3 linked regions of the Tribolium castaneum genome follow. The protein of the gene in region 2 interacts with the protein of the main gene of each other region in a pairwise test. Links are inferred from orthologs where the notes say so. Each region holds a gene or a part of one and is shown on either strand. Other genes may lie near its edges.

The links.
Region 1: the proteins of amyloid-beta-like protein (region 2) and Fas2 interact in binary tests that used the Drosophila melanogaster proteins (3 or more experiments, as listed by UniProt). The link is inferred for Tribolium castaneum from reciprocal best matches to the Drosophila melanogaster genes Appl and Fas2.
Region 3: the proteins of amyloid-beta-like protein (region 2) and Aplip1 interact in binary tests that used the Drosophila melanogaster proteins (3 or more experiments, as listed by UniProt). The link is inferred for Tribolium castaneum from reciprocal best matches to the Drosophila melanogaster genes Appl and Aplip1.

Annotation. Positions count from the first base shown.
Region 1 is NC_087402.1:6,965,431-6,972,664, reverse strand, and holds the end of Fas2 (fasciclin-2), read left to right. Parts: intron 1-220; coding exon 221-404; intron 405-623; coding exon of another isoform or gene 624-730; exon of another isoform or gene 731-1,560; intron 1,561-2,067; coding exon 2,068-2,263; intron 2,264-2,393; coding exon 2,394-2,501; intron 2,502-4,363; coding exon 4,364-4,493; 3' UTR 4,494-5,029; downstream 5,030-7,234. Other genes in the region: uncharacterized protein LOC100142371, read right to left, coding at 5,675-5,740, 5,796-5,981.
Region 2 is NC_087402.1:657,814-665,704, reverse strand, and holds part of amyloid-beta-like protein, read left to right. Parts: intron 1-2,181; coding exon 2,182-2,403; intron 2,404-4,529; coding exon 4,530-5,185; intron 5,186-5,966; coding exon 5,967-6,482; intron 6,483-6,715; coding exon 6,716-6,910; intron 6,911-6,962; coding exon 6,963-7,223; 3' UTR 7,224-7,891. UniProt on the Drosophila melanogaster protein: During development, plays a role in the regulation of the neddylation pathway. Appl and APP-BP1 interact antagonistically during development.
Region 3 is NC_087394.1:6,460,331-6,468,423, forward strand, and holds part of Aplip1 (JNK-interacting protein 1), read left to right. Parts: coding exon 1-31; intron 32-137; coding exon 138-343; intron 344-4,193; coding exon 4,194-4,610; intron 4,611-4,667; coding exon 4,668-4,948; intron 4,949-8,093. UniProt on the Drosophila melanogaster protein: The JNK-interacting protein (JIP) group of scaffold proteins selectively mediates JNK signaling by aggregating specific components of the MAPK cascade to form a functional JNK signaling module.

The DNA.
Region 1 (7,234 bases), about 6.3 Mb from region 2:
TTTTGGCTTATTTAATACCACAGCTTTTTACTCAAAAATGTCCTGATTTATCAAAATTAACTGTTCAGAGGTTTATTTTCAACAGAAAAGTGACAAATGAGTACGCTTCAGTTGTCTCGTCTTCAGTTTGCAACGAATGGGGAAAATATCCCGGCGCATCCACCATTTTTGCTACAATGTTTTCGTCGACTTTGCCATCATTTGTGCACTTTTCTTGCAGATAACGAAAATCAACGGCGAGTGGCGCGACAGCGACTGCAGCGAAGAGATCCAGCAAACGTTCAAATCGACCACTTATGATTTAAACTCGTTGAAACCCGATACGTTCTACAAAATCGAACTGCGTGCTCACAACTCAATCGGTTCAAGTTCACCGGCTCAAATCAAAGTGAAAACAGCCAGAGGTGAGAGTCGGGAGTACTATTACAGTTACAATACCGAGTTCAATTCCGCGCCAATTAGTGTAACCAGCCTCGAATTAATTCCATTTATGTTTTTCATTAGGTTGTTTTGAGAATTCTGTTGTGTGTCTCCGTGCAAAATAATAAAAACCACGACATGTGGCGTTTTATTATTTTGTGGCGTGTGTGTGTATTATCTTTTTAACAATGCCCTCCCTCCAGGTGTTTTTTATGGGAGCTCGACTTCAAGTGCATCTTTCTATATCCCTCTGCAGGCTTCAATGACTATAATCGTAGTGTTTTGTGCGTTTTATACGAATCGGTGCTAAATAGAGGAAAAGTTGACTGTTTCACTACAGGGGTTTTAATGAAATTAAATGTGTTCCCAATCGATAAATTCTGTAAATATTAAATGGTATTAATCACGCATCGTTGCTTGGAACAATTAGTCGTTTCGTTAATTTATTGTACAATAGAAATAGAAACCGCTTCTTTCGCATGATTTGAACATTCCATCGCGTTGTTATTGTTGACTTTCAGTAGACCAAGCATGCCTGACATTTTATTTTAATACGTTTCTCAGAGATGCAGCTTTGAATGTCATATCCGTTTTTATTGAGCCTCATTTCTCACTTCTACTAACCGTTTCTTTCATTTGCTCGTAGTCACGTATGAATGTTGGATGAATTGGATGCGCATGATTTAAATTGTTGATCACTAAGTTGTTACTGCCAACTAAAATAAACTGTATTGGGTAGAACCCTCGTTTCTGAATCGAATTTTACGAATACCAAAAAAACGCAGAGGTGTTTGTAGTAGTGGAAAAATTTTATTTTATTGTTGAAATTCAGAGGATTATGTCGAAATTCAAGACTGAGGGCTGTTGCTACAACAGACGTCTCTTGCGTGCGTATCTGTGCCAGACTTAGTTAAATATCTGCATGTGTGCATGTTTTTGTACTTAAAAGTTTTTAGATTTCGTTGTTGTTTGTTGTGTTTTGTTCGTCCAAATCTAAAAACTTTGAAGTTGTGTTGTAGTTATTTTTTGTTTTTGTCGCAATTGGACAATAAACTTAAGTCATCAACGAAAATCAATCTCATTGTAATAGTTTAATTTACAAAACATGTCAATTTATATCAATAAATGAGTTAAACCGTAGTTGTTTTTTTAAGTTGTGCTTTTGTGAAGTGATTTGAAAGTGGCTTTTCATGTGTTTAAACGACAAGGGACAAAAACGACTTGACGGAAATGTACGTAGCTTCTTGTTATCTTAACTGGGCAAAGCCGAGGTCACCTATTGGCCACGATTTGTCCGTAGATCTGACCCGCTTCTTAATCTTGCTTTGCATGCCTCTAGGTTTCTTTCGTGTGTAATATACTAACAGTCACACAATAAAAACGGATTATGTGAAGACCCCAGTTTTATTTTACTTATTTTTCACTTTCAGAGTTTAATAATTTTTGAGCAGTTTTTGTTAGAAACCGGCATGAGCTGTCCTTAGAATAGTAGACATGGTGGAAGACAAACACACTTTTCACAATAAATGCGCTCATTTTGTTAAAAATGTGGCCTGTGACCACATTTTTAACCCACAACTAACCAACTAAATACGCTTAAAACGCCACCACTTTGTGATTTTGCCTTAATTTTGGTTTGTTTGCTAGGCATCGACCCTGCAGTGCCCTACAACGAGCCTTCAGTCACTAATTTCGCAATAATTGGAATCGTGGTGGGAGCAGTCATTCTTGTGCTAATTCTCGTCGACTTAATCTGTTTTTGCGTGAACCGCGCGGGGATTCTCGCGTTTATCTGCGATCGAAACCGATCGAAGCACCATGAAGAGGACCCGAAACTAGGAAGGTATGTCTCATGTTTTTGTTAAGACACACATCTGTACATAAATGAGTGCTTGTTTCCCGTAATAACACATGCTTTTGTGACGTTTTGTCCCTCATCACACATCACATTATACATTCGTTGGAAATTTTAGTCTATACAGTTGGCGATTTCCGCTGCCTTATTGCAGTTACAAAGCTGCCCCGGCGCATCCCAACAGTCTCAACTTGCCCCTACCTGTCAAACTGGCACCATCACCAATGTAAGGATCTGATGGTTGGTTGCATGCCCCAAATGCATGGATGTTGTGGTTTATGCAAAAGCATGCTGTTATTATTGTCGCCGTGACTGCGAATATTCGCTCACAAAACGAACCAGGAATTTTTGTACAGGCTTAGCTTCGTATTTTTAGTTGCAGACGACTAATACAGGGGAAGGACGCAATGCTAATAGTGTTATTTTGCTCTTGTAGCACATTTGTTGCGTATTTAATCCAACAGATTTCAAGTCGAATGAAAACGTATTGTTTTGTAAACAAATGTTTTCTTTAATGTAAATTACGTAAATTTCCGAGCATTGTGCGGAAAAACAAAGGGATTAAAGGCAGTTGCAAGGAAAAATTAAACATTAATCACGTTGATGATTTTTTTAAGAACTAATGAATAGTTGAAATCGAAAGATTTGAAAGCCAAATTTTTAGTTATACTTTATTGTTTTACCTCAATGTATTTTTTTTTCTTATTTAACCTAATAGTTACGTTATTATAGTTCATTGTACAGAACAAGAAAGGAGAATGTAAGGTCTCTTCTGTTTTGCTTTTACAAGGAAAAAAATATTAAGAACGTTTGAGAACGAATGAATAATTGAAATTCGGAGCTAAAAATCAAGAAATGCAAATTTGAAACTTCAGGTACTAATAAGCTCGCTAAAGACTTTTGTGTCCTACTGAATTATGATTTTTTTCTCATTTGAAATCAAATTATAATAAGTTAAACTTGAGTTCGTTGTGCAGAAAAAAATTTGTTAAGAAACAAAAATTATTGAAAAGAGTTAAAAAGCGATAGAATAATTATTATAATTTAATGTCAAAATCAGAAATTGTAAATTTAAATTTTAAGTTAGAGACAGTTTGTTTAAGAGTTTTATGTTTTACGACGATGTATTTTCTTTATTCATTTGGAAACATTTAAATATTATCAGTTACATAAACTAGAATTTATTATTGTGCAGAAAAACAAAAGGAAATTAAAGGTAAGTTTCGAAACTTTCTCACAAGGAAAACAGTTAATAACACAACACACTGAGGGAAAATTTCGTTTTTACTTTTTACAAATAATTAATTTATTTGGAAGTGTTTTTAAGAACACAGTGTTTAAATTTTAATCACTCACATTTCACAAGTTTTAAATGGAATTTTGGTTTTGGAAATTAAAAGCTTAGAACCCAGTAGTAAGTAGTATTATTTTATTTCAATGTCTCTAAATTTGGACTCGTAAGTGCTCACAATTTCAATTTTTTTTTTTTGCTAAGGACGTTTAGACAACTGTCTGGCATATCTCAATACGAAATCAGATTATTTTTAACAGATTGAAAGGAATTTCAGGCCTTGTTGGGTGTAATTCGAAGAACAAAATGCTGTATTTAACTCGTCTTTGTGTAAATCCGTTCATTTATTACACTTCGTGGATGATAATTGATAAACCACTCGTTATTACTCGTGGTTTAAAACTCGTCGGATAAATAAATAACTATTACATGTAAATGTTTTTCATTTGGAATAACCTTAATAATTAATCTTTTAATTAATTTAATTTTAACCATTTGTTATATTCTCTTTTTTAACGTTAACTTTCAAGCACTTATGATTTTTGGACAAGAATTAGACAACTTACGACACCTTAAAAAATAAAATTGGTCAAAATATGAAAGAATTTCAATCTGAGAATCCAATTTTTTGCCCTAAATTGATTGTTAAAGTTGCACATTCCGTCGTTTTTCAATTTTCACCCGCCTTGGAATCTGTTCGATTGCGCCAAATTCCGATCTAATTTCGTCAAAGTCTAGCTGTAACAGCATGATATCACCTTGCTCGTGTCTTTTTCTCAATTACCATTGTTCCCTAGGGAGGAAGAGCGTGAGCCTCTAAAGGACGCCCACATGAACGGAGGAGAGAAAACCATGTCCGTGGAATTCGACGGCAAGCACGTCTACTCAAAATCGGGCGAAATAATCGGCAAACATTCGGCCGTTTAAGATCTGTGTTTTCAAGTGAGAGCTTCACTCATTCCATGACAGTTAAAACATAGTGCAACAATGCAATTCTTGTAAACTACTATATTTTTAAAGAGACCGCGTGCCAAATGATTGTAGCTTAAATTTCATAACTATTTTAGCCTCAGTATTATATCCAGACGCCGAGTCAAGTTTCTGTGCAATTTGGAAAAAACTTGATTGGTGGTTTGTGTACAGCTTCAGTGTTATGTGTGTAACTAAAGGGATTATGTATAAATGTTTCATTTTGTATAGTTAATTAGGATAGTTTAGGTAACGCTACCAAAGCACTTGTGTATCCGAATTTGTTAACAGCAGCACTGGCAGTACTTAACTACAGACTGAGCAATTTTTTCAAGACCCGACATTGTTTTTATTCATTACGTTTTCTAGTTCGTAAGAAATTAAGTACCAAAGTTATTATTTTAGACTAATGACATTTTTTATTGTATTTATGATATAATTAATTATATTGTAGCTTTTGATATGGAATAAAGCAATTAAGTACCTAATACAAAGCTAGCGTTCATTTTATTTAATTACACTACTAATACTAAATAGTGAACAAGAACCATATACGATGATGATGACTTAGTTCCACTCAAACTAATAAATACACTGACATTTTTTAAAGAATTTTGTATTTTTAATATAATTACTATAAAAAATACAACATACAGTAACTTTCATAAAAAAATCAAAATTTTTAAACCTGTGTTTCCTTTTAAATTATGTACACTACTTACAGAGACACAAAATAGACAATAATCTACACCATGATGAAGAAATTTCTATTTACATTTCCATGTAGTAAGTTCAAACTGAGCAATTGTTCAGGTTATATACATCTGGTAATTTATACTGCGAAGCTAAATTTAACAGAGAGACTTACGCTAAAATTTAAAGCTAGTGAAGAAGTAGAAAAAGAATAACAAAATTTAAGGAAGAAATGGCAAGACGACCACATGATGACGTGTTAAAAGAACAGCGAAAAGAAAGTTATCACTATATACAAAAAATTTAAATAAAAAATAACAAAAATAGAAACTGATAAATTAATTTATAATAATGAGCTCCATGCTTGTTTTTTACAATAGTGGTAACAATGCGTGAAGGTGTTGCATGAGCGAGGTGGATTAAATTACGATGGCGATGTAATTTGCTTAGATGAGAGATGTAACAAGACGAGCCTTGAAATTGACTAATCTTTCGCTAGTTTGGGCCAAACGCTGCAACAAAAAAACGAATCAGCGTTCAGTAGGGATTATTATGAGGGTTTCTTACCAAGATTAAGTCTTGTACGAGGTTGGCGAGACCGCGATTAGCAATGACAAACAAACGGGTGATGGGTCCGGGGATTCCCTCGCCATGGTGCTCCACTCCAGCCCCCTTCGCAATGTCGATCTCTGCAACACCTCCAGCGCCGATCTTCTCGTCGGATTCTTCAGTGGCCCCAGATCCGGCGACGAGCTGTGCAATTAACCGCAATTAAATAATTGTCTAACGAGGTGTTTTACCGCCTCATTAGCCCGACTCAAAAATCGCCTTTCACCAACGCATACCTAATTACATATTCGTTTCTACGGCTAATCTAACTTTAATGTGATTTACTTCTACTGGAATAACAATAACTAAGTGGGTAGAATACGTTTTCTGGACCGTTGTGCACCAAACTCACCTTTCAATTCCATTCAGGAATCAGGGAAACGATCCAAAACTGGAGTAAAAGTGAACGGATCGTTCACCCTTTCGTTTAATTAAGAAAAGAATGCTTTTATCAAAATTAACAAGTCAAATTACAAGTTTGTGATAAAACTCGGCTTATTTTGACCCAAATCTCAACCGGTCGTTATTTTCGTTTAGCGCGCTACGTGAAATGTTTAACACGAATTTTCATAATTATGTAAATGAGCTAGAGCGGTATAATGGCACAAAAGTACTATTATAGTGCGGGTGCAGATTATGACGATTCACGATCGGGTTTTGAAACAGTGTATTATTGGTTGCATAACGCGAAGAAAATCGGTAAAACCCCCACGAAGAAATTAAAATCATTTGATTAATGGACCCGACAACAATTGATTTACTTACCACACGTGTGCCTCTTGTTCAGAAGCATTGCGGAGGCGGGTTTCATATTCATGATATTTATAACATGACTCAATAAGCCAGTGGGTGTTCCTTTTTCTTTTTTGAAAGTGTTTAAAAAATATGAACATTTATGGATGTTGCACTTGCGCAACTGCTTATGCAACCCAATTCACAATTACGAGAGAACATTTTGTGCAAAATTAGTGTTATTAGTTGCCGAAATTAATTCCACGATAGACAAGTTTTACTAGAAAGCAAAACAAACTAAATTAAGTTTTAAATTTTGTACTTGGTGTTACCAGCAAAATGAAAATTAGTGTCTCAGTTTCCTCACAAGTTTACGAGTTTATTATTCAACAGTTTTTTACAATCCTTTAATTTTTATTAGGGTGATAAACACTGCCCCGGATTTTTCACAGCTCGCTGCAACTTGATAGGTGGTAAAGTGGGGGCTTTTATGGGCCATTAGCGTTTTCGTTAACACTTAATCCTTTTTTCTTCGTGAGATATCAAGCAAACGTTACCCATCTTTTAAGCTATTAACCTGGCAGAGAAGGGGCGGTTAATAGAGTGAAAGTAATCCGAGAAAATTTTCTAATGTCTCCGAAAGGCTGCTAGTTACCGAATTCAGT
Region 2 (7,891 bases):
TTTTGTAACAACAATATTTAGGTTCAGCGCTTAATTAACTTCTTTATAGCTTAATTTGTGTAAAAGTTTCGTTTTGTTTATTTTTGTAGTGGAATTTATTATTTTTATTATTATTTTTGCTGCAGTAGCAATTAATAACGAGTAAAGTTAGAAACTGGCTAAAAATCCAGTCTCTCGTGATAAATTATAAACAATTATGCACAGTGTCATCTTGTGGTGTAACCAAGACACGGATTTATTACCCGAACCACAAGCCGCATTCTGTATTAAATTATTTCAGTAAATCTTCAGTCGAGACATCACACTAAGAAAACGAATTCAATTTTTGCCAACATAATGGTTCTGTTATTGACAATCTAGAGAGTTTATGAACGGAGAGTTTTTTCATCAACTTTTAGGTATATAGCTTTGCCACGGAAAATGTAAATTGCCAATGTAATGACTTTATTCGGAGGAAAATGGTGCACAATTTCGCGCGAGCAAATTTTCTACACAAAATTCTAATTAACTCGTCATTTTAATTCGGGGAAACTTCTTTCAATTTGTGTGGGGCTATGGATGTAATTTGTAAGACAAAAACTGTTAATACATACGTTGTACGAAGTTAATAAAAACTCTATTTTTTTAATTATTCGAAACTATTTTGGCTTGGCCTATGTAAAATGATCCGGGGAATCGATTGGCATCGAGAAAATTACCAAATTCCGAATAGTTTTTTAGTTATGAATTTTTTAAAATTTTACCAATTTTTGCATTTATCAGCAATTTGCTCGAAAACTATAAGTCGGAGAACAATAATCTTTTTTGAAAAAAATAGATAATTCAAAGAGCTTTCCAACGATAATACACTTCATGGCGTTATCTCTGATAGTTCCGGAGCTATTGCTCGACAAATGTTCCGGGTACCCAAAATCGACAAAAATTGCGACGAAAATTGAAAAAATCAAATATCAAAAAATCGAATATATGGACTTTTTGTGGACTTTTAACAACTCTAGAGGGATGTAAAGTCATATAAAAGTCCATAAAAGGATACTAGAACGAGTTTTAAAAAAAAAGGTTTTTTTCACCTTTTTGAAGGTAAGTGACTCAGGAAATTTTAAGCAAAAAATTTTAAATTTTTAATTCTTGTGAAAAATTGATATAATATGTAAAATGAGCCGCTGAATTCAATGGAACAAACTGCAGTGCTCTACGACTTTTAGTTTTTTTTTTATGAATTTTTTTAGTGAAAAACTTTGATCGCCTCTGTAGCCGGAACCGTTGCCCGGAGCGGCTCCGGGTTTAATCGAAAAAATAGAGAAAATTAAGCGCTATCAAATGATTTTTTGTTCGTTGCTCTAAGTCTTACAGTTTCCGAGAAAAACGCAAAAAAAGGTTTCCATTTTCGCTTTTTTTCAATTTTCAACCGCCAATTACGGCCAAACTATTAGAGTTATCGAAAAACGGAAAAATCGAGGACAACCGGAATAAAAAGCTCTACAAAATAGCATAGGACTCAAAGCGATATCTCGCAAAAAAATTTTTCAATTTTCAAACGCCGATTACGGCCAAACTAAAAGAGCTGGGAGAAAACGCTTTTTTAGATCGGAAAGAGCACATCAAAATCTATAAGATAGAATCGGTTTTATTTGATTTTGAGACACTTTAAAAAATGACAGATTTTAAGGGGGGGGGGGGTGTTAACTTTTTTTTAATTTTTTTTATTTTCTCATTTACGGCTAAACTATTCTAAAAAGTGAAACTATTTTGATCCATACCTATGCAAAATGATCCGGGGAATCGATTGGCATCAAGAAAATTGTCAAATTCCCAATAGTTTTTTAGTTATGAATTTTTTAAAATTTCACCAATTTTTGCATTTATCAGCAATTTGCTCGAAAACTATAAGTCGGAGAACAATAATCTTTTTTGAAAAAAATAGATAATTCAAAGAGCTTTCCAACGATAATACACTTCATGGGGTTATCTCTGATAGTTCCGGAGCTATTGCTCGACAAATGTTCCGGGTACCCAAAATCGACCAAAATTGCGACGAAAATTGAAAAAATCAAACATCAAAAAATCGAATATATGGACTTTTTGTGGACTTTTAACAACTCTAGTGGGTTGTAAAGACACATAAAAGTCCATAAAACTTTGCTAGAGTGAGTTAAAAAAAAATTGTTTTGCTTGTTCCAGAGGGTCCGTTCCAGTCGGACGCTCTCCTAGTGCCCGAAAACTGCTTATTCGACCACATCCACAACCAGAGCAACTGCTGGACATTCGGTCGCTGGAATGCCACTGCAGGCAACGCTTGCCAAGAACGAGGACTCCAACTTCGATCGTTTGCTATGCTTCTTCCCTGTGGCATTTCTTTGTTTAGTGGTGTGGAATTTGTATGCTGTCCCAAACACTTCAAAGGCAAGTTCTTCTACCTAACTACACCCCATATTATATCGCTTTGTTTCCTTCCTTCCTTCCGTGCGAATAACTTTCTATCGTTCAAGCACAACTTTCACACCTTATATACGTTATATAAAATTTTTTCCTTTTTTATTTTTGCGCAATAAAGAATTAGCTCTCGAAACTTGGACGAAGCTTTTTATTTTCTCTCATTAGTCTCAACACTTGATAACATCGCGATACTCTAGTTCAACAGTTTAGGGGATTAGGAAGTTTTCGAGCGAGTTTATCAATAATTTGGCGTTGAGGACTCGCACCATATGCCCGGATTTTTCACTTGTTGCAACTTTCACAATATTTATTAATTAAAGACACAAAATTTTATTCAGTAGAAGTGAATTTTTTTACAGATTATTAATTGTTAGCAACCTACAATTAGAGCCACATTTTTAAAATTTGAAAAGCGAGCAGGAATAAGAAATCTACAAACTGATGACGGACGGGACACAAAAAAACTCACATTTTTATCGTTGAACAATCGTTATAATTGCAAAATTAGTCCGGAAATTTATTATTTTCGTATAGATCTAGTCTGTATTTTTATTAAAACAGGTTTGAAAAATTATTTTTGCGAATTTCGGTGCTGCTTTTGTGAATTTGAGGAGCACTGCAAATAACTGGTATCGAACAGCTCGCTCAGGTTGCAATCCCGTGTAACGGTTCGAAATTCAATCTATTGGAAACATAAAAAGTGTTAGTTCAGTCAATATGCGGTTCCATTAGTGGTTCAAGTCGATAAATCTGCCCGAGACATGCCCTCTAAAATGAATTTATAATTCTTTCGTTTTTTCCCCCACTTGTTATAGTTCAAATTCGCATTAGTTCTAAATCAAATGAGCTTCATTTATCACCGTCAGAGCTTTGGTGATAGGAAGCAAACCCCTTGTGGAACAAATACGACGTTAAACTAATCAACTGTTATGTATGCTTTGAATGTAGATAATCGGCCATTCAAAGATTCGACGTATGTTTATGACACAAATGCGTTCGTTCGTTCGTAAATTAAACCCAATTTACAGCTGAATGAGAATCAGAAATATAGGCGGCGGTCAGCGAGAAAAACTTTATTTATTTTAGCACACAAGTAATGAGTTTTTCGAGAATAATAACCGATGTAATTTCAAAGTTTAAGGCCTCTAATGCATTAAATGTGACATGCTGCAATTTACTTCACAAGCACAATGGAGTTATGATGGAAAAGCTTTGACCGGAATTATATTTACTTTTGTGACGCGGTTTCAAGCCGGTCTTTCGCTTGTTAAATTATTATTTCTTTACAAAACAACTCTACCTTCAAACAATTAAAGACATTTTTTAAACAGTTTTTGCGATTTTTTTTACCTTTATCGGGCAATAACTCCGAAACTATCAGAGATAGCCCTACGAAATTTACCATCGTTGGAAAGCTCTTTTAATTATCTATCTTTTACAAAAAAAATCATTCTTCTCCGATTAATAGTTTTTGAAAAATTGGTAAAATAAAAAAAAAGCGTCATAACTAAAAAACTATTGGGAATTTGGGGATTTTCTCGACGCCAGTCGATTCCCCGGATCATTTTACATAAGTTTACGTCAAAATACTTCCACTTTTTCGAATAGTTTTTCCGTAATTAGTAAAATAAAAAAGGGGGTAAAATTATTATAAGTCATAAATTCGGGCATTTGGAAAAATTTCCTCTTCCTTTGATACTCAGATATTTAAATTCAGCCACTGATCCAATCCATCTCCCCCAAATTGCTTTAACGAATTGACTTCCAAATTGGGTAAACCCCCAAAACCTAGCTAAATTAAAATCCAATTCAATCGGAGACAAAACCCAACTACTCATATTTCACAACTTGTTTCCCTCTCGAGACACTTAACATTTATCCACATAACTAAAACTTTGCTTCCCTCGCGTCTAATAAATCGCAATTTTCAAACAACATTAAACTGAAAAAAAAACTAAACGATTTGTTCAGCCGAATTTTTAAATTATGCTCCAGAAGATAAAAAAAAGTGTTATTATCTACGTTTTGAACGAAAAATCGCGATCCTGCGCCTAACAGTTTTGAAAAAAATGCCAATTAAGTAAAAATTCCAGACAACATGAAGCCGAAAAAGCCACTGGACTTAACAATCCTGAAAAAGGACCAGGACAACATCTTCGACACCATCGACGACGATGACTCCACTTCGGACGAAGACGACGACAAGGACGACCTGGACGACCTCGCCGACGACACCGAGCTCGCCGACGACCCCAACATCGACGACGAGGACGACGATGACGACGAATACGACGACTCGGATTGGGACACCACCCCGTCGAGCACGACGTCCAAACAATCCACCACCACGACCACCACCACCACCACGGCGAAGACGACGTCAGTGCCGACCCCAGACCCCTATTTCACGCATTTCGATCCGAGAAACGAGCACCAGAGTTACAAGGAGGCGCAGGAACGTTTGGAGGAGACACACAGGGAGAAAGTTACAAGGGTTATGAAGGATTGGTCGGACCTGGAGGAGAGGTATCAGGACATGAGACAGACGGATCCACGTGGAGCTGATGAGTTCAAGCAGAGGATGACGCAGAGGTTTCAACAGACGGTGCAAGCGCTTGAAGAAGAGGGCGATGCTGAGAAACATCAGTTGGCAGCAATGCATCAGCAAAGAGTCCTAGCACATATTAATCAAAGGAAGAAGGAGGCCATGACTTGTTATACACAAGCGTTGAATGATGCGCCTCTCAATGTGAGTAATTTTGTAGTTATTTTCATGTTAGATAATTTAAAAAAATGACAGAATTGTGTTTTTTTAAGTTTCTAAAAACACCAAAAATATTCTCAAATTTTTGACAGTTTTAAATTGGAATTTGACATGACAGGTGCAAAACCAGCAGCACCAACCAACATTATTTTAGTGATTTTTTTTTGTTTATAGCACAGGAAAATCCTTACAATAAATGTTTTTGTACGCGTTTAAATGCAACAGAAACACTACACATGGAGGTAGTTAGAACTAAAATTTTCATTTACAACTCTCGTTAGAACTATTAACTCTAATTGCACATTTTCATCAACTTCATCAAATGGATTTTGAAGTCATAAAAGGAATGTTTAATGCATGTTTATGGCTACATTCGAATCAATTCGTTTCGCAATTTTTTTTTAAATACAGTAAAACCTCGGTTGTGCGATACAATACAGTAAAACCTCGACTCGACAATTATAATAATAATAAACACATTTTTTTTGCAGAATTTGTAGTAAAAATATATGTATATACCGGGTGTTTCAGTTATATATATTTTTATTTGTAAAAAAAATATATAACAAACCTTATATCTTCTTAAATGAATTGACGAAATCTATTGAAAAAAATTATCGCTTTACCCTTACGATGACATATGTCAAAATTGTGACTGTCAATTTTTTTTTATTCAGAAATATCTACGGTTTGAATTACTTTTAAAAAAAATAATAAAGTTATTCAGTTTTGTATTTAATTAATTCAATTAATTATTTGATTGCAGACCCATCGTGTGCAGAAATGCCTGGAAAAACTGCTCCGTTCTCTTCACAAAGACCGAGCTCATGCTATTAACCACTACCGCCATCTGTTGGCAAGTAGTTTGGAGGCGGCAGCTCGTGAACAACCGCGCATTCTCGAACGTTTAACAGACATTGATCGTACGGTTAATCAAAGCATGCAAATGTTAAAAAGATATCCAGAATTGGCGACGAAAATCGGTCAATTAATGGATGATTACATCCAAGCTTTGAGATCAAAAGATGAAACACCTGGATCACTTCTAGCGATGACAACTGAAGCTGAAGCTGCGATTTTGGATAAATATAAATCAGAAGTTACAAATAAACAAGCAGAGAGAGAACGACAAAGGTTGCAAGAGAAGGAGAGGAAGGAACAGAGGAAGAAAGAACGGTCGGAATTAAGGGAGGAGAAGAAGAGAGTTGAGGCTGTTTTAGGGAAGAAGATTAGCAATTTTGATGATGAAGACATGGAAGATGAGTCGTTGCCAGAAGAAAGGGTGGGTTTTTTTGAAAAAAAAAGCATATTTTTCCGACATAGTTTCAATAAAACTTGAAAAAAGGTAATTTTGGACCGAAATTTTACTAAAAAACTAGCTAAACAACGTCAATTTGATGAATTTCTAGGTAATTTTGAGTAATTTTTGCGAAAAAATAAGTTTTAAAGCGAACTTGTCCGCCATTTAAAAATGGCCGACAACTTCAAACTTGATTTTTTGATTGTCCATTTTAGACAACAATAATTTCGACCACCGGGAGCTCAACTTTCGACCTTGTGAGCAACTCCATCCCTACCACAAGCCACCGCGACGCCGTGGACGACGCCGCCGTCCAGCAAGCCGTCGAAGACGTCGCCGCCGTGGTCCACAAACAAGACGTGATCCGAGTCGCCCATGCAATGGCGCATGACATCAGCCACGGCGAACCTGTAAGTGGACGACACTCGGCTTCGCCTCGTCATGTATCACATTTTTTTCCAGACTTATTCAGTCCGACGTGAGGTGTACGGCAGCAAAGACGGCAAAAGTGTTTACTTCACTCTCGCCTTCGCCGGCATGGCGCTGATGGCCGCCGTGGTGGTGGGGGTGGGGGTGGCACGGCGCAGGTCCGCACGCTCCCCCCAAAGCCAAGGCTTCGTGGAGGTGGACCAGGCCGCCACCCCCGAGGAGCGGCACGTGGCCAATATGCAAATCAATGGCTACGAAAATCCCACCTACAAATATTTCGAAGTCAAGGAGTAATAAACGATTTGGTTGCGTTTGGTTGGTTAGGTTGGTATTTTTTACGTCATTCCATTCGTTTTATTACAGTGTACTTAACTAAGCAACTGATAATAATAATTCGGACATATGCAAAAACGTATTTTCCAAGTCTAAAAATTATGAAATAAGTAATAATTTTTGCATATGACAGCCAGTCCATGTTTTACACTTATTGTATAATCTTAAGGCGAGCTGTGGAGTTACATTGCCTTGGTGTAATTTTACAGTGGAAGAGTGTAGCTAGATGTATGGTACCCTCCATAATATGTGACAGCGTTTCTCTCTTAAGGCCTACGTTTCAAACTTTCAATAATGCAGCTAGAGATTGAACTCAAAATGACTGAGCTACTAGAAATTGGCGCCAATTTTAAATTATTTATGACGTATGGCAATTTTCTGGCAAAATTTTCGTTTTCCTAACTTGAAAAATTGTCAAAAAGCCGTCAGGTTGGCATTACCATAAGTAATTTTTTGTTGTTAAAGTTGGTACTTTTTTTTACTGTACTACAGTGACCTGATTTTTTTGTACAAAATACAAAATACGAAAATAACTTTAAAAATTACAGACATGTTTTTCGTATAGTCTGTCATACTTTTGACAATTGTCAAAACATGACTGATCAGTTTCTTTTTGATAATTAAATGTT
Region 3 (8,093 bases), on a different chromosome or scaffold from region 2:
CGCACACCAAAAATTCAGCACCATTTTATTCGTAAGTACAATCGCCAACCCTTTGCCAAAATATAAATCGTCAATGAAAGACACCTCCGCTTTCTCGACCAACTCTCGAGTATTGATTTCACGTAACGTTTTTAAAGCTTAGTTCATGATGTTGTCGTGGATGAAGAATCGCCCACGTCTTCCAAGAGCGACCCCGAAACAGACTGTGATATTGTGGAGGAGAGCAGACTCTCGGGCTCCTCCACAAGCGAAAAGAAAGAACCTTCGAGGAGTACTCCCATTCCTCCCTGGACGGGAGAACGCAGGAGGAGAAAACTGCCCGAAATCCCGAAAAATAAGAAACGTAAGTGGGAATTCACATCACACTTTCGATTCCGGTATTTGCAAAAAACACAATTTTTGTTAGTCTGACTTGCTTTTAACTTGATTATGAAAATCATTTGTGGGAAAGGTCAGGTTGAATAAAATAAAACAAAAATATTCAAAATGTTTTTTTAAGGTGCACTTGTTAATAAAATTAGTTCAGTTAAGAGTTAACTCTGATAATAAGTTCTAATCTTTTTTACAAAAACCAAAAAAAAATACACAGAAATTAATTTGATATTCTACCCACTCCATTGACTTGTAAAAGAAATTAATTTTCACTGGTAGGTACTTTGCAAGCTCTTGTACAAAATAATGAATTACTTTACTCAAAGCAGAAGGCAAATCAATATCAATATCAATGTTTCAACTGCTGTATCAAACTTTATGATTGTCTAGAACAAGAATAGCTGGAAATTTAATGAATAGACTTTAAGTTTACATTCATAAATTGACTTTACTGAAAGACTTATCAAAAGTTTTTGGTTTAATTAGGACTGTACACGAACTGTCTCAACACATTTTCTCGGACAAAATCTGCAATTAGGTTTCATGTTAATATTCAAATCGTAGTTGATACAGCCAAAAAATCTAATACATTTTTACCGTACGTTTGTTTAAAAAATAGATTACAGTGAAAAAATTAAGAAAGTTAGGCTTGCTTTTCAGAAGCTTTCAATTAATATTTCTAATAAATTTATAATAGGGCACAATAAGTGGTTATTTTTTTCGGTAGATCTAAGAGGATTTGAAAACTTTATAAACTTTTTCTTCAAAAATATTAATAAGTGCCGACTTTAGCTAATAAAGCTAAAATTCAAACTACTGACCGATGATGAAATGACCACTTCATTTGCAGGAGAAAAATTATAAACCATGAGTTTTTTTTGAAAAGTCTATAATAGAAAGATTTGGTAAATGAATTGACAAAAAGTAGAAAAAGAATAAAAACTTTAATTTGAAAGAAAACTAATTTGCAATAAGCTTTATTTATTATGTATTTTTTGTCAAAATACATTGAAATGTTTTTGTACCCTTATTAGTAAGATCAAATTCCTTCATCTTCTCTTTTGTTATTATATTACTTAATAAGATTTTAGAAAAAATAGAATCAAGATTCAAATTTTTCTAAAATAAAGGCTAATTTTAAAATTGTCATTTTTGTTTCTAAATAAATTCATCAGAAAAAATAGATTTGTTCTATATTTAATTTAATAGTCATACTAACATTAGTACTTCGACTTTCATAAGAAATTGGAAAGTTCATAAAACACTCTTAGATTGAGTTTGAAAAAATTTCTTTTTTGTTTTCGAGGATAAATAAGTTCCTTAGTTTATAAAAATTTTCTGAAAATAAAAAACTTTATCGTTCCAAATAATATTATATGCATTTCTAAGAATTCCAGAAACTTTAACTTGTTGGAGTTTTGAAAAAATAATTTTTTGAGTTTTCCAGTATAAATTAATGAGTTTCAGTTTATCAGCAACCTCTAATAAATAAAAGAAAATGTATCTGTAGATATAGTTTAGAAAAAATTTTGATTTTTTGGGTACGTTTTTTAGCAAGAAATTAAAAACTTACCTATGAGCGACATCTAATATTTAAATGCTTCGCTGCAAAAGATTTTGCTCAGCTAGTGTCCTCTAGCAACTAAGTAGCTTTGTCACTTTTTTTTTAAACTTCAATAATAAAAGAAATTAATAGTTTTATATTCTAAATTTCAAAATAAATACTTAAAACCACTCAAAATTTTTGGTTATTATCAAATTGATGTTGAAGCTACAGCAATATTGTTTTATTCTAAAATTGTTCAATTTCTTACTTAATTTTCTCACAAAAATCTGGAGTTTTTATCATGAAATATGTCGAAGACAATAAATTTTTTTATTACAACAAATAGCTAAAGTCCGTAATACAGTATAACTTATTTGAAAATCACTAGGCTTTACGGACGTCCATAACGTATTTTTTTGCACACTAGTTTGTAAAAAATGATAACTTTAAAATTTTAAACTACAGTACAATCTCAAAAGTGTAAACACTAAAAGTCCAGGGCTACTGCATCTGTTCGTATTATCGAGGCTATAAATACATTTGGACATAGGTAAAATAACTCAATTTTTTTTTTATTACAAAGAGTTTAATTCTTTATACATATTTTTTAAGCAACAAGTAGAACGTATAAAGTTTGTTAAAATAATTCTCATCTTATTGCCTGAGACGACTTCATGACAAACCACTTGTAAAACAAGTCGACAAGAAATTACACTAATACAAATATTTATGTTTTTTTTCCACATGTAACTGGTTGTTTATACCTGTGACGTCCGATTACAGCACTGCTAAATACAATAAGTTTAAGCTGAACTAAAACAGTTGTTCTTCACAGAGTGTCTACTCGTATAGTGTCCTATAAATGTTAATGTTGTAGTTTCATTTTGTTAAAACATAAGATTTTTTTGAATAAAGAGTTTACTAATTTATAGCCCGTTTTGTCAGTCCAGTGTTACTTCTAGTTTGATTCTTTTTTTTAATCCTACTTTCAATAAAATTTACTTTTATACACTCTATGTAACAATGAATTCAACGTTTGGCAAAAATGGTGGATGCGCTGGGAAAATTAGTTTATTACCTATTTTATCAAAACCAAATAAATGATTAATTGACAGTATGCATTATTTGTTATTACAAAGATAAGAAATATTAAAGCTCAGTGAAAAATAATGCATACTGTAAATTACTCATTAATTTTTTTGATAAAATGGGTATAAAAATATCTTATTTTTCGACACTGTCATAACTTTCGTTTTTCCTCCAGTGTAAGACAGTTTTGACAACTATTTGGCGTTTCTTAATACAAAACGTCAGATTATTTTTAACAGATTTAAAGCAATTTTAAGCCTTGCTGAGTCTAATTAGATGAGTAAAATGTTGTATTCAACTCTTTTTTGTATAAATCGGTTCATTTACTTTACCTTGTAGATGATAAAGCACTTGTTGTCACTCGTGGTTTGATAATCCACTCGTGAAATAAAACATTCGATTTACACTCAAACTCGTTAAATAATAGGATATTAAAAAATAAGTTTTATAAGATCATTCTTAAAACACGAATTCAAGTTTCAAAAATGAGTGGCATTGGCCACAAATTTTTTGAAATAATGAGTGCTTCAAAGTCTCATGAAACGATTTTTTTAGACTATTTTTTGTAATTTGCCGTTTTTAAACAAAAATTGTTATTTTAACAGATTTAGGGACTTTTTTGACGATTGGTAATGTCGCAATTTTGAAAGTAATAAATTGATTAACATTTTTTTTTATCCAAATTGGGTCAAAAAACAGGAGTATGGATGATATTAAAGGTAATCTTGCAAAAACGCCTTTTGAAATTTAAGAAATTTACAAAAATACGGTTGCGAATTTGGTTCCTGTCAAAATAAAAAATTTCATAAAATGTTTAGTCAAATAATGACTATTATAACTTTGCACTTGATAATGTTGAGTGCTTTAAGATGTCTATTAAAGCATCAAAATGGCGGCAAATTACAAAACTAACTATTATCTCGGCGCATCCACCATTTTTGCCAAACATTAAAAACGTTAATGCTTCTCAAATGCAATCAAAGCGAAAAAATTAATATTTACGGAGAATTTTACCAGCTATAGTTTACACTACACAACATACACGCCTTACGGACTATCTTTTCAACTCTTTGGTCACCAAAATTATTAACCATTTTATTTCGTGTCAAACTCACTGACAGTGTTTTCACTTGTCATTTTACCAACAATTTTTAAATCTTTATTATATACCAGTGTATTTTTGCAGCTTCTGTCGTCAGTATGTACAATGCACAATACCACGTATCTCGAGAAATGTCTCTCGCAGACGAACTAGGCAGTACAGGGGGAGGAGGCAGCGGACCAAGCTCAATCTTAGTATTAAAATGCGGATATCTATGGGACACAGACTCGCCCGATTCGGAGCGCCTTATCACAGACGCCGACAGCGGCCACAGCACGGCCCATTCTCCCACAGGAACCGACGGTTTCAAATCCATGTCGCCCATCATGGGCATATCGCCTTCGTGCGTCGACGGAGGCCTGGTGTACAACGACGTTGAAATGCTGGAAGCCACCCATCGGGGACTTCACAAGTTTGTTCCCCGACACGATGACGAGATCGAGGTGGAAATCGGGGACCCAATCTACGTGCAGAAGGAGGCGGACGATCTCTGGTCGGAAGGTGGGACTTTGAGCGCTGGAGCGCTGCGATAAAACTGATCGTGTTGTTATTATTTAGGGGTTAATCTGCGGACGGGGAGGATGGGGATTTTCCCGTCTGCTTATGCAGTGGACTGTGATTACAGCGATTGGGATTCATCGTGTGAGCACGGGAGGAGGGAGCGGTATTTGTTGGGGTATTTGGGGTCGGTGGAGACGTTAGCACACAAGGGGACGTCGGTGGTTTGTCAAGCCGTGAGGAGGGTTATCGGAAATTCGGGAAGCGATCCGGAGTCGCAACCGTGCATTCTTGAGGTTTCCGATCAAGGCCTGAGGATGGTCGACAGGAGGAAACGAAACGTTAGTATGTTAGGGCGTCTGAGTGTAAATTACATTTTGTGCAAATTTATCATGTGCTTAAACACGCTTAAACTTTTATTTACGGACGATTCTTTGGTTAGAAACGAGATAACACTCTTAGAACAAACAAAAAATGTTTTATTCTAATTCAAAAAATGATTTATGTTAGACTTCGGTCGAAAACAGCTTATTCTGGACGATTTCTTGTTTTATTTGAAAAAAACAGACTAAAAACGCTTTATTCAGTTTCAAAAGAACACATAATGTTAAATGTTAAATAATGGATGAAAACGGTTCATTTTAGACTATTTTTTTGCTTAGAAATGAGTACATTTTGTTAAAACAGACAAAAAACGCCATATTCTGGCCTAAAAGAAAGACGTATGACAGGAAAGAGGAAACGAAACGTTTAATAATTTAAATAAAATTTACAGATAATTCTTTGTCAAGAAACAAGAAAACTTTCATAGAACAAACAAAAAATGTTTTATTCAAGTTAAAAAAAAATATTTATATTAGACTTTGGTGGAAAAAAGCTTATTCCGCATGATTCTTTGCTTAAAAACGAGAACACTTGTACAAAACAAACTGAAAACGCCTTATGCAAGCTCAAAAAAAAACAAATAGTGTTATAGTTAGGATAAAACGGCTTATTTCGGACTATTTTTATAAAACTTTTATAAAACAAACTACAAACGCCTTATTCAGACTCAAAAAAACAAATAGTGTTATAGTTGGAATAAAAACGGCTTATTTCGGACACTTTTGCTTAAAAATAAGTAAACTGGTATAAAACAAACTGAAAACGCCTTATTCAGCATAAAAAAAATTATGTTATAGTTTAGATGAAAACGGCTTATTCCGGACGATTTCTTGCTTTATTTGAAAAAAACAGACTGAAAGCGCTTTATTCAGTTTCAAAAGAACGAATAATGTTATAATTTGGATTCATTTGGTTCATTTCGGACTATTTTTTTGCTTAGAAATGAGTACACTTTCTTAAAACAGACAAAAAACGCCATATTTTGGCTTAAAAGAAAGACGTATGACAGGAAAGAGGAAACGAAACGTTTAATAATTTAAATAAAATTTACAGATAATTCTTTGTTAAGAAACAAGAAAACTTTCATAGAACAAACAGAAAATGTTTTATTCTAGTTAAAAAACTTATTTATGTTAGACTTTGGTGGAAAAAAGCTTATTCCGCATAATTCTTTGCTTAAAAATGAAAAAACTTGTACAAAACAAACTGAAAACGCCTTATGCAGGCTCAAAAAAAACAAATAGTGTTATAGTTAGGATAAAAGGGCTTGTTTTAAACTACTTTTATAAAACTTTTATAAAACAAACTACAAACGCCTTAGTCAGACTCAAAAAAACAAATAGTGTTATAGTTGGAATAAAAACGGCTTATTTCGGACAATTTTGCTTAAAAATTAGTGAACTGGTATAAAACAAACTGAAAACGCTTTATTCAGCATAAAAAAAATATGTTATAGTTTAGATGAAAACGGCTTATTCCGGACGATTTCTTGCTTTATTTGAAAAAAACAGACTGAAAACGCTTTATTTAGTTTTAAAAGAACGAATAATGTTATAATTTGGTTTTATTTGGTTCATTTCGGACTATTTTTTTGCTTAGAAATTAGTACACTTTCTTAAAACAGAAAAAATACGCCATATTCTGGCTTAAAAGAAAGACGTATGACAGGAAAGAGGAAACAAAACGTTTAATAATTTAAATAAAATTTACAGATAATTCATTGTTAAGAAACAAGAAAACTTTCATAGAACAAACAGAAAATGTTTTATTCTAGTTAAAAAAATTATTTATGTAAGACTTTGGCGGAAAAAAGCTTATTCCGCATGATTGTTTGCTTAAAAACGAGAAAACTTGTACAAAACAAACTGAAAACGCCATATGCAAGCTCGAAAAAAAACAAATAGTGTTATAGTTAGGATAAAACGGCTTATTTCGGACTATTTTTATAAAACTTTTATAAAACAAACTACAAACGCCTTATTCAGACTCAAAAAAACAAATAGTGTTATAGTTGGAATAAAAACGGCTTATTTCGGACACTTTTGCTTAAAAATGAGTAAACTGATATAAAACAAACTGAAAACGCCTTATTCAGCATAAAAAAAATTATGTTATAGTTTAGATGAAAACGGCTTATTCCGGACGATTTGTTGCTTTATTTAAAAAAAACAGACTGAAAATGCTTTATTCAGTTTCAAAAGAACGAATAATGTTATAATTTGGTTTGATTTGGTTCATTTCGGACTATTTTTTTGCTTCGAAATGAGTACACTTTCTTAAAACAGACTAAAAACGCCATATTCTGGCTTAAAAGAAAGACCTATGACGGGAAAGAGGAAACAATACGTTTAATAATTTAAATAAAATTTACAGATAATTTTTTGTTAAGAAACAAGAAAACTTTCATAGAACAAACAGAAAATGTTTTATTCTAGTTGAAAAAATTATTTATGTTTGACTTTGGTGGAAAGAAGCTTATTCCGCATGATTCTTTGCTTAAAAACAAGAAAACTTGTACAAAACAAACTGAAAACGTCTTATGCAAGCTATAACAAATAGTGTTATAGTTAGGATAAAACGGCTTATTTCGGACAATTTTGCTTAAAAGTTAGTAAACTGGTATAAAACAAACTCAAAAAAAAATGTTATAGTTTAGATGAAAACGACTTATTTCAAACAATTCTTTGCTTAGAAAAGAGTTAACTTTCTTAAAACTAAGTCAAAATGCCATATTATGGCTTAAAAGACAAGTTTTGTGTTATAATTTGGATAAAAATAGCTTATTTCGGTTGATTTTTTGCCTAAAAACGAGTAAACGTTTATAACTTAAGACGCCATATCATTGTTTTAAAGAAAGTTTTGTGCTATAGTTAAGATGAAAACAACTTATTTTGAACGACTCTTTAACTAAAGTTTCTATTAAAAAAATTCAATAGAATGGGACAAGAAATCACTAAATTACGTAAAATTTAAACTCTCTGCGTTCTAAAATTAGTGTCCAATCTTATATTTTTGAGTGGATCATAGTAATATTGTAATGTATCAGTAGTTGTTTTTATTTAAATTGAACATAAAAAAAGAGAAAAAGAAAAAACCGCAAAA